Astyanax mexicanus: one gene and its partner. The protein of the gene in region 2 binds, or shares a complex with, the protein of the main gene of each other region. Links are inferred from orthologs where the notes say so. Each region holds a gene or a part of one and is shown on either strand. Other genes may lie near its edges. The genes, in order: gins2 and mcm5.

Region 1 (7,409 bases), on a different chromosome or scaffold from region 2:
ATATTTATGCTCCATCTAATAATTTATAGATTTAGAGTTGGGCAGATGTGGATGTGTTGATCATCCTGATTTACTAAATATCGTGTTGCTGAATGCAATCAAATCCTCACAGCAGTGTGCTAAAATCTGGTAGAAAGCCTTCCTTGTGCAGTAGACAACTACTCCAACAAAAGTAAATTAAACCATTATATTTAAAAATAAACGACTAAGCATGTTTAGAGTATAGAGTACCACTTTCAACGTAACACACAGTTAAAATGTGAGTTACAGAAGGAAATGTCTGCCCACTAAACATACATAACTAATATTCTGTGAAGTGTTTGATAAAATACATTTAATTGTAAATTAAATAAGAAATGTAAGGTTGGCAAAATTAAATAATATTTTTATATTTTAATTTTGTGGTTAGTCATGATTAAAAGTGTATATTAAGGTCACAAATCTGGTACTTCCCTGAATTTTTGGGAGATATACTAGTGTGATTTGCCTCTAACTCTTCTAACTCTAACACTAATCAAATTACTGTTTTAATGTGATTTTCAAAATAGGATAATCGAGATTGTAGATATGTACATTTAGAGCCTGGAAGAGGGAATCTTAGGTAATAGGCTTGTGTTTCTGTTAAGATACCTTTAAAGAACTCTCTCATACGGTGTATTTTACAGTTATTTTCATATGTTTCAGTTTTCTTTAACTAAAAGTGGGTTAGGTTTGTATCTTATTTAGAGCTTGCACAGTTTTGACTCCCTTGAACATGAATGTTTGTATACTTGATATAAGGCTGTAAATGCTGGGCGCCAAGCGGTCCAGCAGACTAAAGCGCTGCCACTACGAGCGGAGGTCGCAGGTGGGGCATCACTAGTGATAGGGGGAGTCCTAATGAGTGGGTTGGATAATTGGCTGTGCTAAATTGGGGAGAAAATGGGAAAAAATATAAATTAAATTTATAAATAAAAAAAGCTGTAAATGCTGTTTGTTTGTTTATTTATTTATATTATGTTATCCTAAAATAGAAACTGATTAAAACTGTCTTATCAGTTGATGTGTATCATAAGGAACTAAAAACATCTAAATTGTAATCAAGAATTGCATATAAATTTGCAGAATTTCAAGATTTTATCGTTTTACGATATCGCCCAGCTCTAATCTCAGGGTAGTTTTAGTGCTTTTTAAATTAGAATCTTTTAATGTGTTGAGTAACATTTTACAAGAGTTTGCATAAGTATCTGCATATGACTGACTGTGGATTTTGAATCTCATTTCAGAGACTCTTTTGAAGACTGGACAGAAGCTCAGAAGATCACGTCAGCCCTCCTGGAAAACAGGTCCTATGAAAACCTCATAGACTTTGACAACCACCTGGATGACCTCAGGAACGACTGGACAAATCCTGAAATCAACAAATCTGTGCTGCATCTATGCTGAAGCCGTCGAGGAGATCTCCTGTACTGTTCAAGCCATCAATGCCAAAATGGGTTGCGTATTGTTACTGAGTTCAGTCCCATAGAAAGATTATTCCCAATGGGAAAAGCTGATGGAAAGGACGCATTTCTAAAGGGCAAGCAGGACACTGGTACAACATGTGTAATGAAGGTCTGAGATGATTCTGACCTTCATGGCATGATTTATATTTTGGTCTGTTTTTCTTTTTTTCTGTTGTCAGGCAGCAATTTATATGCATCCATTTGACGCACAACCTTATTAATTTGGTGGTTTATAGCAGATTACGATCAGTTCTACTTTTTTCACGTCGTTAAGTTTTCTTTTACTAACAAAGCTTAATTTTCCACTTCACTTTATTGTTTATTTTGAGCAAAATAACTTGAATCAACACAGATCCAACTTTTCTTTTCTTACATACTAACCTGGTTGGATTTGTGTTTTAATTTCTGAATTTTATTAATCAATCTGAAACACAACCACAGATCCTTTAAAAATGGGATGGAAATTGCAGCATTGCGTATTTTTCCCATTTCAGCTGAAGTGGCTGGTCAAGATTATTTACCACCTTAAATGCAAATAAGGTCCATTTAAGCGTAAAGCCATCAGCTTGAAGGACTTATTTTAATATCCATACACAATACAACTGTAAATGCTAGAGAATGATTCAGATGTGTTTTTTTTTTTCAAATGTAATTGCTTGTTTGTTTTCCCTGAATTCTGTAGCCTTACAGAGATAATAAATAATCGTTCAGAGTTTATGTTAAAGAAAATTGTTTATTTCACTAATATTTTTAATGTATATACCTCTTTTAAGATGCAACTTTAAAAGAAGATTAGTCTTAATATGTAAGCAATTTTTGATGCTCTACCAAATATGAGTTTAGTTTAATAAGGCACAGGTGATATTTGTGTTAAAATGATTGATTTGGAAGTTGTGTAATTCAGTAATATTCACTGAGGACTGATAGGATTAATATAATTATTAATATCATTATTAAAATATGATTGAGATGATTGAAATTAGCTTTTGTAAAACTAAATGTAAGAATAAAATCTTTTGAAGAAATCTTTGTACATTCTTTTTTTGACACTGTGTCTTATGGGTATTTAAAACAAGAACCAGCAACATGGATGTATTTGTCCACTGATTTTTTTCCACAGTATTGCTTTCAGTCATACTGGTTATTTATTGTATTGTGTCGCTGTGTATGTCGTTTTGGATCGTTTGTTTTTACTTGAGGAATCAGGAGCATGACCAGTTGAAAAGCAGTACAGGAACTAAAAACTCTAACAATGAAATTAAACACAAAAGAGCAGCGATGGCTTATAAATAAAAGCAATATAAAATTAGAAATAGAATGTAGATTCTCACCATCACAAACATGAAAAAAAATACACAGCCACAATAACTGCATTTATAAATTTCAAATAACCAATGAAAGCATACCTAAACTATCAGTAGTAAATCATGATGGAATGTACTATTTGCAGTACTGTGCACCCTTTTCGACACAGAATCACATTTTTTATTATTTCTCTCAGCAATAAAGAGAGTTTCTACAGGAGTATAAAACTTTCTATTTCCAAATCATGGTTATTATTTAAAAAAAAAAAAAAAACAACAAACTAAAAAAACTAAATCAATAACTAAAAAAAATAAAAAAAACAAAATCACAGTTCTGTCGCCTCCTGGTGGCTAGGTCACGTGGTGATTACAGGCTAAACCAAAGGACCAAGTGAGAAAACCCACTTGGGTTTGTGACGAATTATTGTCCAAAATGTATGGAAAACAGAGTTTATAAATGTTTGATTATTTGTACACTGACAATTAAACTAATTTCTTCAACATCGAAAAATATAAACTGTATCATTGCTAACTCCAGTTATAAACCTTTAAACAAATGGTAAACAAGTACAAAACAGGAATTATTTTGCATATATGAAATTGTAAGGTGTTTCTTATGGATTGTTTGTTTTATTTGTTTTTGTGATACTTCACAGTGTAACAGACATGTATATTAGTTATGTAAATAACAAAATAAGCTAAATCTTCCACCAATACATTTTTGGATTTTTTTTAATAAACTAAACTAAAACCAGTCAGCTCACAGTAGCAGTAATGCAAACACCTTTACTGCCTAAAACATTTTTTTAAGAAACATGGAAATATGCAGGTCATTGTATTAGCAAAATAATGTATTTTAAATCTTACAATTAAAGGAATCTCTTGTAGTATTAATTTACTATTTGTATTATTATTATTTTTTTTTTGCAATTTAGCTGATTAGATATGGAGTCCTTAACCACACTGGCAGAGAGGAGAGCCCTCAGCAAGCTGCTGAACACCTTCCTCTGCTCAGCACCATCACCAGACAGAGGAGCACATTTAGTGCACATGCTGTGCCAGTTATGGGACCATGGTTATTGAACCAAATATTACTTTCTGAACTCTTAAAACTTTATGAATATGAGCTTTTATTTTTACATTATTTGAGGTCTGAATCTCTCTCTTTTTTATTATAGCCATTTCTTATTTTCTGCAAATAAATGCTCTAAATGACAATGTTTTTTTTTTATTTGGAATTTGGGAGAGATGTTGCCCGTAGTTTATAGAATAAAACAACAATGTTCAATTTACTCAAACTTATACCTATAAGTAGCAAAATCAGAAACTGAGGTGCTCCATTCACTCCCATTCATTGAGGTCTTCCTCGCTGGCTCCCTCTAGCGGCGGGTTCTGATATAACGGGGGGCGGCTCCGGCTAAACCACGGGGCTGTAACGTCACGCAGCCTGTCTGAACAATCCGCGGGAAAAGCGGAGCTGAGTTTTCGGGGGATTTAAGGATTATTCTCGGCTTTTCCGTCGATATTTCAACAAAGCATGGATCCGTCTGAGGTGGAATTCCTCGCTGAGAAGGAAATGGTGAAGATTATCCCGAATTTTAGCCTGGATAAGATCTATTTAATCGGGGTGAGTAACGTTAGTTTAGTGTGTGTTAGCTTAGCATAGTCTCCCCTCAGAGGCTGCCTGATTAACTAGCGTTACGTAAGTTAAGTTAACTCTAGTTAATTTAGCGAGTTATAAACTTATACATTTAAGTGTTTATCCGACAGCAGCAGCAGCAGCGCTGTTTTGGGGGTTAATGGGGCTGTTCGCCGGTGTTCTGTCGAGTTATGCTACCCATCGATATGTGCTTTTTTACGGCACTGCGCATGCGCCGACCAAAAGTTTATTTTTGTACTCTTTCTATAATTAACTTACTTACTTTTTATTTTTGGGTAATAAACATCATCTTTGCATTTTTGTACTGTAAATAGCAGTTAAAAATAATAATTAACAATAAAAGATAAAAAAAAAACAATATTGTTGTATGACCTTACCTTTTTTTATTTTACCTGATAACGTTAACGTTACAGTGATTTAACTTAGCCTATCCACATAACGTTACCTCACCTAGGCTTCTGCTTTGAGTATTTTCTAATATGTTTTTTTTTTTTACTTTGACCTTTTTATATAAATTAAATACCACTAGGGTAGCACGGTTTGACAAGGTAGCACAACTCGACACAACACCGGGTTGTTTATAAGCTCTTGTGTTGTGATCGTATATTTGTAGGGGGATCTGGGTCCGTTTAACCCCGGGCTGCCGGTGGATGTGCCGGTCTGGCTGGCCCTGAACTTGAAGCAGAGGCAGAAATGCAGGATAGTTCCTCCAGACTGGATGGACGCAGGTAACCAATCCTCACTCTGGGGTTCTGGGTCTTTCCTAAAATAATTAAGCATTCATTATTCACAGTTTATAACTTTTAATAGCTTTTGGATTCCTTGCACTGTTAGGAGTGGGCGATATGGCCCTAAAATAATATCACAGTATTTTTGGCGATATGACTAAACACAGATAAAAAAAATAAGAAGAAGATTATGGTACTACAACAACAAAATTATTATTTTTTTAATTTTTACGGTTGCATGTGTTATGATATGGCACACCCCTAACTGAGATATTAAATAATACAAGATTTATCAGATTTATAACAGACATCAATAATCCAGAATGTCATACTAATCATACACTCCAAATATCTCCATATTTCCAGGTTTAAAGAAAAAAAAATTATACTGGACAGATATAGTCTGTCTCTAGTAGATTTATAGTTGTAAATGAAAACAGCGTGAATTGTTCTTTTGGGAAATATCGCAAAAAAGTAATGCACTGATGTTTTAATTAGGGGTTAGTGATATGGCACAATGTTTCACACTATTTAAAATGTAGGCAATATTATTGTGTAGGATACAATATCGCACACCCCTACACTGTCCCAATGTTTGTGGTTACCCCTTCTAAATAGGGCTAACCGATTAATTGCAGAAAAAAAAATCATCAGACTAGTCAGCTATCAAAATAATCACTAGTTGCAGCCCTACTTCTAAATGCACATGAAACTTATGCCGACTATACACCAAACTATTTTCAAGCGATTTTACTGTTGCAGACAAATTTCTGGTGTAGGGATAAAATAATAAAAGTCTTTCTAGAGTTGAGTTGTGGTCGCACTACATCTTTCAGTGGTTAGGATTGAAGGTTTAAGTCTCTTTCTCGCCCTGGCCTTCAGATAAAATGAACCCTTTTTAATATTATTGTAAGTCTTGAGCCTTGGCTCACGCAAATAGTGACGTGAACAATGTGACATACTGTAGGTTACATTAAGGGGAATACATTGACACAAAAGGATAATACTTATAATAAAAAATCGAGCTACAGATGAAAGGAGCCTGTCAAAATGGAATGTTTTTTTTCTTTTATATACAGTGCAGAGGAAGCAGTTAGAATATGGTTGCTCAGCCTTTATTACCAACTTTATTCTCCATACAAATGTTCTGCACACGCACCTAAACACACTACAGAGACACTTATAGTCAGGTCTAGAATAATCATTCCTACTTTAGCATCTGTCTGTTTCTAAACGAAGCAAGTAATTCTCATTAAAAAAAGTTTACTCTGCTTTGATTGTAGGGATACAGAGAATCATAACACTATTAATTAGGAAGTAGGAAGGCTGATCATCCAGACTGAGGAATAACTATTCAGTTTAGCTGTCTTGTAAAATACACAACAACATTTGTCTGTATTTAGGAATGTGTATTTAGTTACAAGTTTGGGTTGATTCTGTACTTTACAGACTGTTGGGAACCCTCTTTGTTGCCCATGCCCATTTTTGCATGTTTTTTTTTCACTTATGAAGTTATGTTTCACATGAATATAAACAATCAATAACATTTACCTAACACAAATTGGATCCTGTTTAAATTTTGCTTGGGATCTATTAACATACATTTACCTGACAGCCTTTCACAGCTTCACAGCCTGTTGTGTTTTGATCATGTTTCCCATAGCTTTATGTAATCTCTCAATTTTCTGTGCCTTTTAGATAAACTGGAAGAAATCAGGGAGCAGGAGAGAAAAGAGGACACCTTCACTCCCATCCCCAGTGCTTATTACATGGAATTGACCAAATTGCTACTAAACCAGTAAGTTTAAGTTTAAGCCTGCATGGATAATGTGGCATTACTTTTATTTCTGGAGTTGTATGTCACAGCAATGAATAGTATCTCACCTGAATAGACTGTTCTTAATAAACCTTCAGATAGCCATTTCTAAACATTTCCAAAAACAATGTTGCTGAGGACTTATTATTGACATTGTCATTACTGACATTTACTTATTGGACTGCTGTAAAGAAGTCACATATTAAATATTTCAATGGTTTACTCTGTTTGCTTTGTTTATACATAAAGTGCCTTTCAGATTTAGACTTCACTTATTTATAACAATATGAATAACAATATAACAATATGTTTGTATAATCCTCTATGCAGTGCTGCAGACAACATCCCCAAAGCTGATGAAATCCGGACATTGGTGAAGGATATTTGGGACACCCGCATTGCAAAACTGCGCCTGTC
Region 2 (7,278 bases):
TTTTTCAAAGTTTTAAAACACTATTTTTATTTTATATTTTTACTATATTCTAGAAAGAGGCCTGCCTGTCACCATAATCAGCATTATCAACTTATGTACAATATATGTCTGTCTGTCTGTCAGACTGTCTAAAACAGTTTGGGGTAGTGAAATTTGCCTGTTTTAGATAAATACACTAACTTGTAATGGGACAGGAACTGGTATCATGTCCCATGACTTTTGCCTTGTCCTGTGAACGATAAGGACCACTGCTTGGACATGTGCTTGTGATTTCTGCCGCTTGCTCACTGTGTGTGGTAATGCTTTTTATTGGCAAGACATTGAGGAAAATGTATGTTGCTCTGTTTTTTACACAGAGGTACTGATGAGCTTCTGGGGGTGATGGACAGAGTGCACATAGTGAACTCCACATTGGGCAAAGCTCTGGGTGGGGCAGCAGGCAAGTAATATTATTAATTTATAAATGTCAGGCTGTTTAGATTTTAAATTATATAAATTATGAGAATAGGTGTAGATGAACTGATTTAAAATGCATTAATTATTATTGTGTCTTTAAATTGTGAATGCAAATTTGTATGCAGAAACACTATTTTAAACTTAGCGTATATTTGTGCATTGCTTATATACATTAAGCAAATATACAGTGCCACGTGTTTCTTGTCATAACTCCCAGTTTTATTCTCTCAGGCGGTTACACAGTTGGACCTAAACCTTTAATCGACCTTCTCAGGCAGCGCTCTCGTCCTTATCTCTTCTCCAACTCTCTCCCCCCTCCTGTGGTGGGCTCTGCCACTCGTGCTGTGGAACTGCTCCTGGCTTCCAATGAAATTGCGCAGAGCATGGCGGCTAAAACCATGAGGTAGGAATAAAGGAGAGAGGGGAGGTTCAGTGCTGTGTTTATTCAGTTACAGATTTGTGCTGACCTGCAGATAGAAAGGCTCGCTGTGTTTGCCTGGGGCTATTCATGGTCAGATTGCTAAATGTTAGAATGAACAGAAAGAGATGTCTACATTCTCTACAACTTTGAATATATATTTCTCAACTGAGATTTGTTGTAAAAATATTCTGAGTCAGATTAAGGCCTGCAAACAAACAAACAAACAAACAAAAGCAATCAAAAGGCCTGCATTTAACATAGTCTTCTAACTTACAATCGAAGTTCTATACAAACATTTACAAAAGTTTTCCAAAAAATGTGCCAAATCAAATTATTCATAATCAGACCATCCATAGAGGCATTTGTTCCTTTCATGTGCCACCCGTGCAACATAACAGATCACCATTGCCTTATATAAGCTGGAGATGCCAGTATAGGGTGGTATAAGGTATTATTGTGAAGTATTGGGTATTAGTGTATGGTATTATTAGGTAGCACTAGGATGTATAGAGGAGTGATAGGTATTATTAGGGTGATAGGGTAGTATTGTGTAGTTTAGGGAATATTGGGCAGTAGACTGTAGTATATAGTAGTATTGGGTAATGTAGAGAATATTATATGATACTATTGGAGAACACTGGAACATATAGAGTAGTATTGGTAGTGCAGGGTAGTATAGGGTAGTATTGTGTATTTAGAGCAGTAATGGGTAGTACTGGAATGTATAGAATAATATTGGGCAGTGTAGCGTAATACTGGAATAAATAGAGCAGTAATGAATAGTATTGGGTAGGGTAGTGGGGCGAAAAGCTGCATATGCTGTATATCAAGCAGTAAGAATGTAATAAAGAATCCAATTTAATAGTATGTGTAACTGCTCGCTCCAAAAGAGTAAAAACTAAAAATGATGTTTTTCACAGTACATTTGTTACAATTCAGCACAGCACAGTAATGTCTAAAGGGAAATAATTTTAAAAGTAGCTGTTTATTCCTGTTTAATCTAATGGCAATGAGTGTGGTAAATCAATGGTGATTTATATGTTCTAAGTTTTGCTCATTACATAAAAATATCAGTTATTCATAGTATCAACTCTCAAATACAAACGCCTCTTTCTCTTCTCATCCATCAGGTTTAGAAACGGTATGACCCAGGCAGGGTTCACCATTGCAGGTGCCGCTCACCCCATCTGCCCTGTGATGCTGGGAGACGCACGTCTGGCTTCATTAATGGCTGACGACATGCTTAAACTTGGTAAGACCAAAAAAATTTTTTCCGCAGTTTCAGGTTGGAAAGCAGTCTGTTCTGATTTGCCGTTTTCTGAGATAAATTAACAGATACTTATAATTGCACTCTTAATACACGTTTGCAAATAAAACTGTAAACATGGTGGTGTAATTTAAGAAGATAATGTAACAACAATCAGAAAGTAATTTTTCCTTTTTTTCTCTTAGGCGTGTATGTGATTGGATTCTCCTACCCCGTGGTTCCGAAAGGAAAAGCCCGTATCCGAGTCCAGATCTCGGCTGCACACACCGACTCAGACATCGACCGTACAGTGGACGCGTTCATACAGACTGGCAGGAAGCACGGCGTCATATCATAACGTAACACTCATAGAAACAAGTGCCTTTCAAGGATCATAGATTCAACATGGAGAAAGAACTGCTTCTAGTAAATGGACTGTTACAGCAAAGCTTTACACTAAAAAAACAGATTTTAAAAATGTTATTTAGTGCTGCTGAAATTTAAATCAAAGTGTTTTGCACTAATAAATGCTTTTGTTTAACTATGTTTCCTTGCCTTTTTCCTTATAATCATCACAGTTTATCCTTTAGTCAGTCTTTGCTAAGAGTTATTTCTCATGCTAACCTTTCACTAAATGGCTTTGAAGCTAATTTAAATGTTGCAAACCCAGTATCAGAATGAAATCCGGTGCTATATCCACTCTTTAACATTTTATTGTAAATCTCCAAAAGAATCGAGTGACAGTCTTGCATACAGTGAGCCTGCTAGTTTCTCAGTGCTTGCAGAGTAATGCCATACTATTGTCCTTAAGCCATCCACACACTTGTAAAAAAGAAAAAAAATATTTTAGAAGACTGTTATAATATCAAACGCAGTTTAAAAAAAAATTGAATGTCAAGCAGAGACTTAACACCAAACAGATGATAAAAGCAAATCTAGCAAGACTCAACTAATTATATGCTGACACTTAGAGACTTGTGATTTACCTTGGTGACAATTAAATCGCTTTAAAGTTTAAAATTTTGGACCCACTGCAATATCTTTCCTGAAACAGGTGCTTTCATTGGCTCTAATTACCAAAACTAATGTAAGGCTGGACAATAATTCAGTATCAATATATATCATGAGCTGATATTTTAAGTATACATTATTTACAGTATATTTCTCTGACTGGAGTTTGTGTAATACAGTACAGTGTAATATTGGATAGTATTGGTTGTGTAGGTAATGTAGGGTAGTATAGGATAGTGTAGGTAATATAGGGTAGTATTGTAGTATAGAGTAATATGGGGTAGTATTGGGTTGTGTAGGTAATATAGGGTAGTATATGATAATGTAGGTAATATAGAATAGTGTGGATAATACAGGGTAGTATTGATACTATAATGTATAGAGTAATATTGGGTAGTATTGGGTTGTGTAGGTAATATAGAATAGTGTAGAGTAATATTGGGTAGTATTGGGTTGTGTACGTAATATAGAATAGTGTAGAGTAATATTGGGTAGTATTGGGTTGTGTACGTAATATAGAGTAGTATAGGATAGCATAGGTAATACAGAGTATTATAGGATAGTGTAGGTTATGTAGGGTAGTATTCAGCAATATTGGTTGGTATTGGGGAACACTGGAACGTATAGCGTAGTACTCTGTAGTATTATTGGGTAGTAGTAGTTTGTTGGACAGGCATTAATTGTGGGCATGCTTGGTAGTTTTAACTGTGCATTAAGAATAGAATTAATGTGATTATCTGGATAAAATAGGAGAAACAAACATGGATCTCACCATTTGGTATGGATATTCTCAGTAACAACTTCAGACTAAATGTCTGAATGGCCATGTTAACTGATGTATATTATGATTGCACTGTATGTAGCCTGTAGAGAATGTGTACATTATTCATAAGAAGTGGGTCAGTGTTGTAAGTTATTTAAACTCCTCATATTGGTGCAACAGCATAAACGCCATATTGGGTCAGCCCCAGGTTAACTCTTAGCTACCTCCCTTTGTTACATACCGCCAAAAAAAAAAATTCCCGCCACGGCGGACATTTGTCCCCGCCTTTTATAAGACGTATACCCGCGCAGCTCCAATGAGCGCGGCTGAATTTGACCAGGGGGCGGAGTCTCGGCGTTTTGCCGCGAAACTGATCAGCGTGGTAGGCACTTTGTCCATAGAGGAAGAAGCTGTGTGTATACAGGCGAGCGGAGCGCGGACAATCGCTGATATTGATCAGTTTTTGATTATTCTTTCTTTTAAATAGTCTGTAATCTTATAAAAAGGGCAGAATGTCCGGATTTGACGATCCCGGGGTTTATTACAGTGACAGTTTCGGAGGAGGAGGAGAAGGAGTGGGGGATGAAGGCTCTGTGAAGCGCAGTCAGATTAAAAAGCGCTTTCGGGAGTTCCTGAGGCAGTTCAGAGTCGGCACGGACCGCACTGGATTTACCTACAAATACAGGTAAATCTACTTATAAAACTGAGTTAATCTGAAAGAGGCTTCTGATTATCTTTTGTTGACCCTTTGTGTAACGTTAGATATGGTGGTGCTGGATAACTCTAGTTAACTCTACTTTTACCTGTGCCAGCACAGAAAATCGTGACTAAAATTATACATTTTTAAACCTTATATAAGAGGTTTCTGCACTTTTTATTTGGAATTAAAACGTTTTTATTGCTTACTGAACTGGTTGACCTGGCTAGGGTTAGCTCATTTTTTTAAACTGAGCTAACGCTAGCTAATTTAGCGTTAGCTGTCTAATATCTCATAACATATTTTTTTTTAAAGCTTCGCTTACTGCAGAATGTTGTCATATTGTGAAGAGTATGTGATTTAAAATTAAGAAAACAAGAGCTATAAGAATTATTTATTTGACCCCTAGTGGAGAAATTCAGTGTTACAGCAGCAGTGGTAAAAGTTATACCAAAGCACACCAGAAAGATGAAACGTTAACAAAATAAGTATTAGGACAAACACTTTTTTATTACTGCCTAACCCACTAGCTGTCTTTTTTTTTTTTTTTTTTTTTTTTTTTTTTTGGTGAAACTTTATCTGATGAAAGTCACGAAATAGTCATTGCCTTTACAACTCTTCTTGCTCGTAGGAGACTTTTATTACACCGGAAATCAAAACACCCTCCAACTTCTGTGTGGCTTAGAGACTTGATGAGAAAATTTCACTAAGGGGCTGTAGGGGGAAAATCCGTTTTAACCTATATAGACAGCAATAAATCTATAATAGACAATGAATAATACACCCTTCCCTCTTTTCTATTCTCCTCTATATTTTTATTTTAATTATTTTTTTTTATTGAAATAAGAAGCCATTGTATTCTGGAGTGGAGATCTGTCAAGGTTTTTTTTTTCATAAATGTAAAAAATGCAAATATTTAATTGTGACTACTTTCTAATTTGTATTTATACATGTTCATAAAAATAAAATTATTTAAAAACTTTTATTAATACTAATCTAAATAAATAAATTTATTAACAGAAATGCACCTAGCCCACCTTCTTCTTTTGTTTATTGTGCTGACTTTCTTTTTTTTTTCCCACAGAGATGAGCTCAAGAGGCACTACACTCTTGGAGAGTACTGGGTGGAGGTGGAGATGGAGGACCTGGCCAGTTTTGATGAGGACCTGTCAGACTGTCTGTATAAGCTGCCCACAGAGAACCTTCCTCTGGTGAGTACACACAGTGTAAAATTAGACATGTATATTCTACAGAATCTCCGAGTAAAAATGCAGTTCTTGGTTTTTGTTCATTGTGCATTGATCTGCTCTGTTTATTGGTAGCTGGAAGAGGCAGCCCAAGAAGTAGCTGATGAGGTCACTCGCCCACGGCCTGTAGGAGAAGAGACCGTGCAGGACATCCAGGTCATGCTGAAGAGTGATGCCCATCCTGCGTCCATACGGAGTCTGAAGGTAAGATATCTGGGGGCTCGTCAACTCTGCAGTGTATATATGTTTACCTATGACTGCTTGCCATCCTTGCTATCTCTTATTTTTGTTTATTCATATATATTTTTTGCTTTTCCCATTTTCCACAGTCAGAGCAAGTGTCTCGTTTGGTGAAGATCCCTGGTATCATCATCTCCTCCTCAGCAGTTCGAGCCAAAGCCACCAGAGTGTGTCTGCAGTGCCGAGGCTGTCGTGCGGTCATCAGTAACATCCCTCTGCCCCCTGGACTACAGGGCTATGCTCTGCCCCGCAAGTGCAACACGTGAGTCTTTTTTTTTTAATTTCGGTTATGTATCCGGCTATTAATATTGTTCAAAGCGAAATCATTCACTGTTTCACATCAGACCTCAGTTTGTGTAGTAAACCTCGTACGCTCCTCCTTGGTCTGCAGGGAGCAGGCGGGCCGTGTGAAGTGTCCTGTGGACCCCTACTTCATCATCCCAGACCGCTGTGTTTGCGTGGACTTCCAGACCCTCCGTCTGCAGGAGTCTCCTGATGCTGTGCCTCATGGAGAAATGCCCCGCCACATGCAGCTCTACTGCGACAGGTATGTGCACACTGCTGCGGGGAGGTTAATCAAATAAATTTGATTAATTGAATTACAGTTTTAGTCTGATTTTTATGGGGTAATTGAGATTTTACATCTTTATGCATAGAACCTGCCAGAGGGCATTTCAGTAAACCTCTTATGTGGCAGTGATGTTGAAATTTCCTTATGTGAAATACAAGGAGGTTATGTTTTCACCTTGTTCTGTATAAAAGCTGCTTTATATTCTTAAAAAGTAGCTAATTTTATTTTTTCTAAGTTTTGTTTGCACGGTTTGGACTTGAATATTGATGTAAAAGAAACAATGGTTCAGGGCTGATATGGTCATGAAAAACCTGGAAAAGTCATGGAATTTGAAAATGGCAATTTCCAGGCCTGGATAAGTTTGGGAAAAAATATAAATGTCCAGAATGTTTTATGAAAGTAATGGAAATTTGGTCTACAAATCTTTGTGTTTCAGTTTATTAGTGAAAAATTTATTTTGAGCTAAAAAATAAGTCATCTTAGCGTATGTTCAGTAATTTAAGCCTACATAATGGAGCTGACACAATTTATTAATAAATATTGTGTGTCCACCTTTGATCTGACTCATTTTAGGCCTACTATAATCCATTTTGATTTATAGTTTTAATTTAGTTTTAGATTTTTGG

What was found.
Region 1: mcm5 (region 2) and gins2 share a complex: the UniProt entries of both Homo sapiens proteins name them as parts of the CMG helicase complex. The link is inferred for Astyanax mexicanus from reciprocal best matches to the Homo sapiens genes MCM5 and GINS2.

The regions. Positions count from the first base shown.
Region 1 is NC_064416.1:12,865,872-12,873,280, reverse strand, and holds the start of gins2 (DNA replication complex GINS protein PSF2), read left to right. Parts: upstream 1-4,204; 5' UTR 4,205-4,325; coding exon 4,326-4,415; intron 4,416-5,061; coding exon 5,062-5,176; intron 5,177-6,874; coding exon 6,875-6,974; intron 6,975-7,322; coding exon 7,323-7,409. Other genes in the region: emc8 (ER membrane protein complex subunit 8), read left to right, coding at 1,266-1,425. UniProt on the Homo sapiens protein: Required for correct functioning of the GINS complex, a complex that plays an essential role in the initiation of DNA replication, and progression of DNA replication forks.
Region 2 is NC_064426.1:29,521,038-29,528,315, reverse strand, and holds the start of mcm5 (DNA replication licensing factor MCM5), read left to right. Parts: upstream 1-4,269; 5' UTR 4,270-4,409; coding exon 4,410-4,582; intron 4,583-5,678; coding exon 5,679-5,805; intron 5,806-5,916; coding exon 5,917-6,045; intron 6,046-6,170; coding exon 6,171-6,343; intron 6,344-6,472; coding exon 6,473-6,628; intron 6,629-7,278. Other genes in the region: gcat (2-amino-3-ketobutyrate coenzyme A ligase, mitochondrial), read left to right, coding at 357-439, 688-859, 2,008-2,129, 2,330-2,481. UniProt on the Homo sapiens protein: Acts as a component of the MCM2-7 complex (MCM complex) which is the replicative helicase essential for 'once per cell cycle' DNA replication initiation and elongation in eukaryotic cells.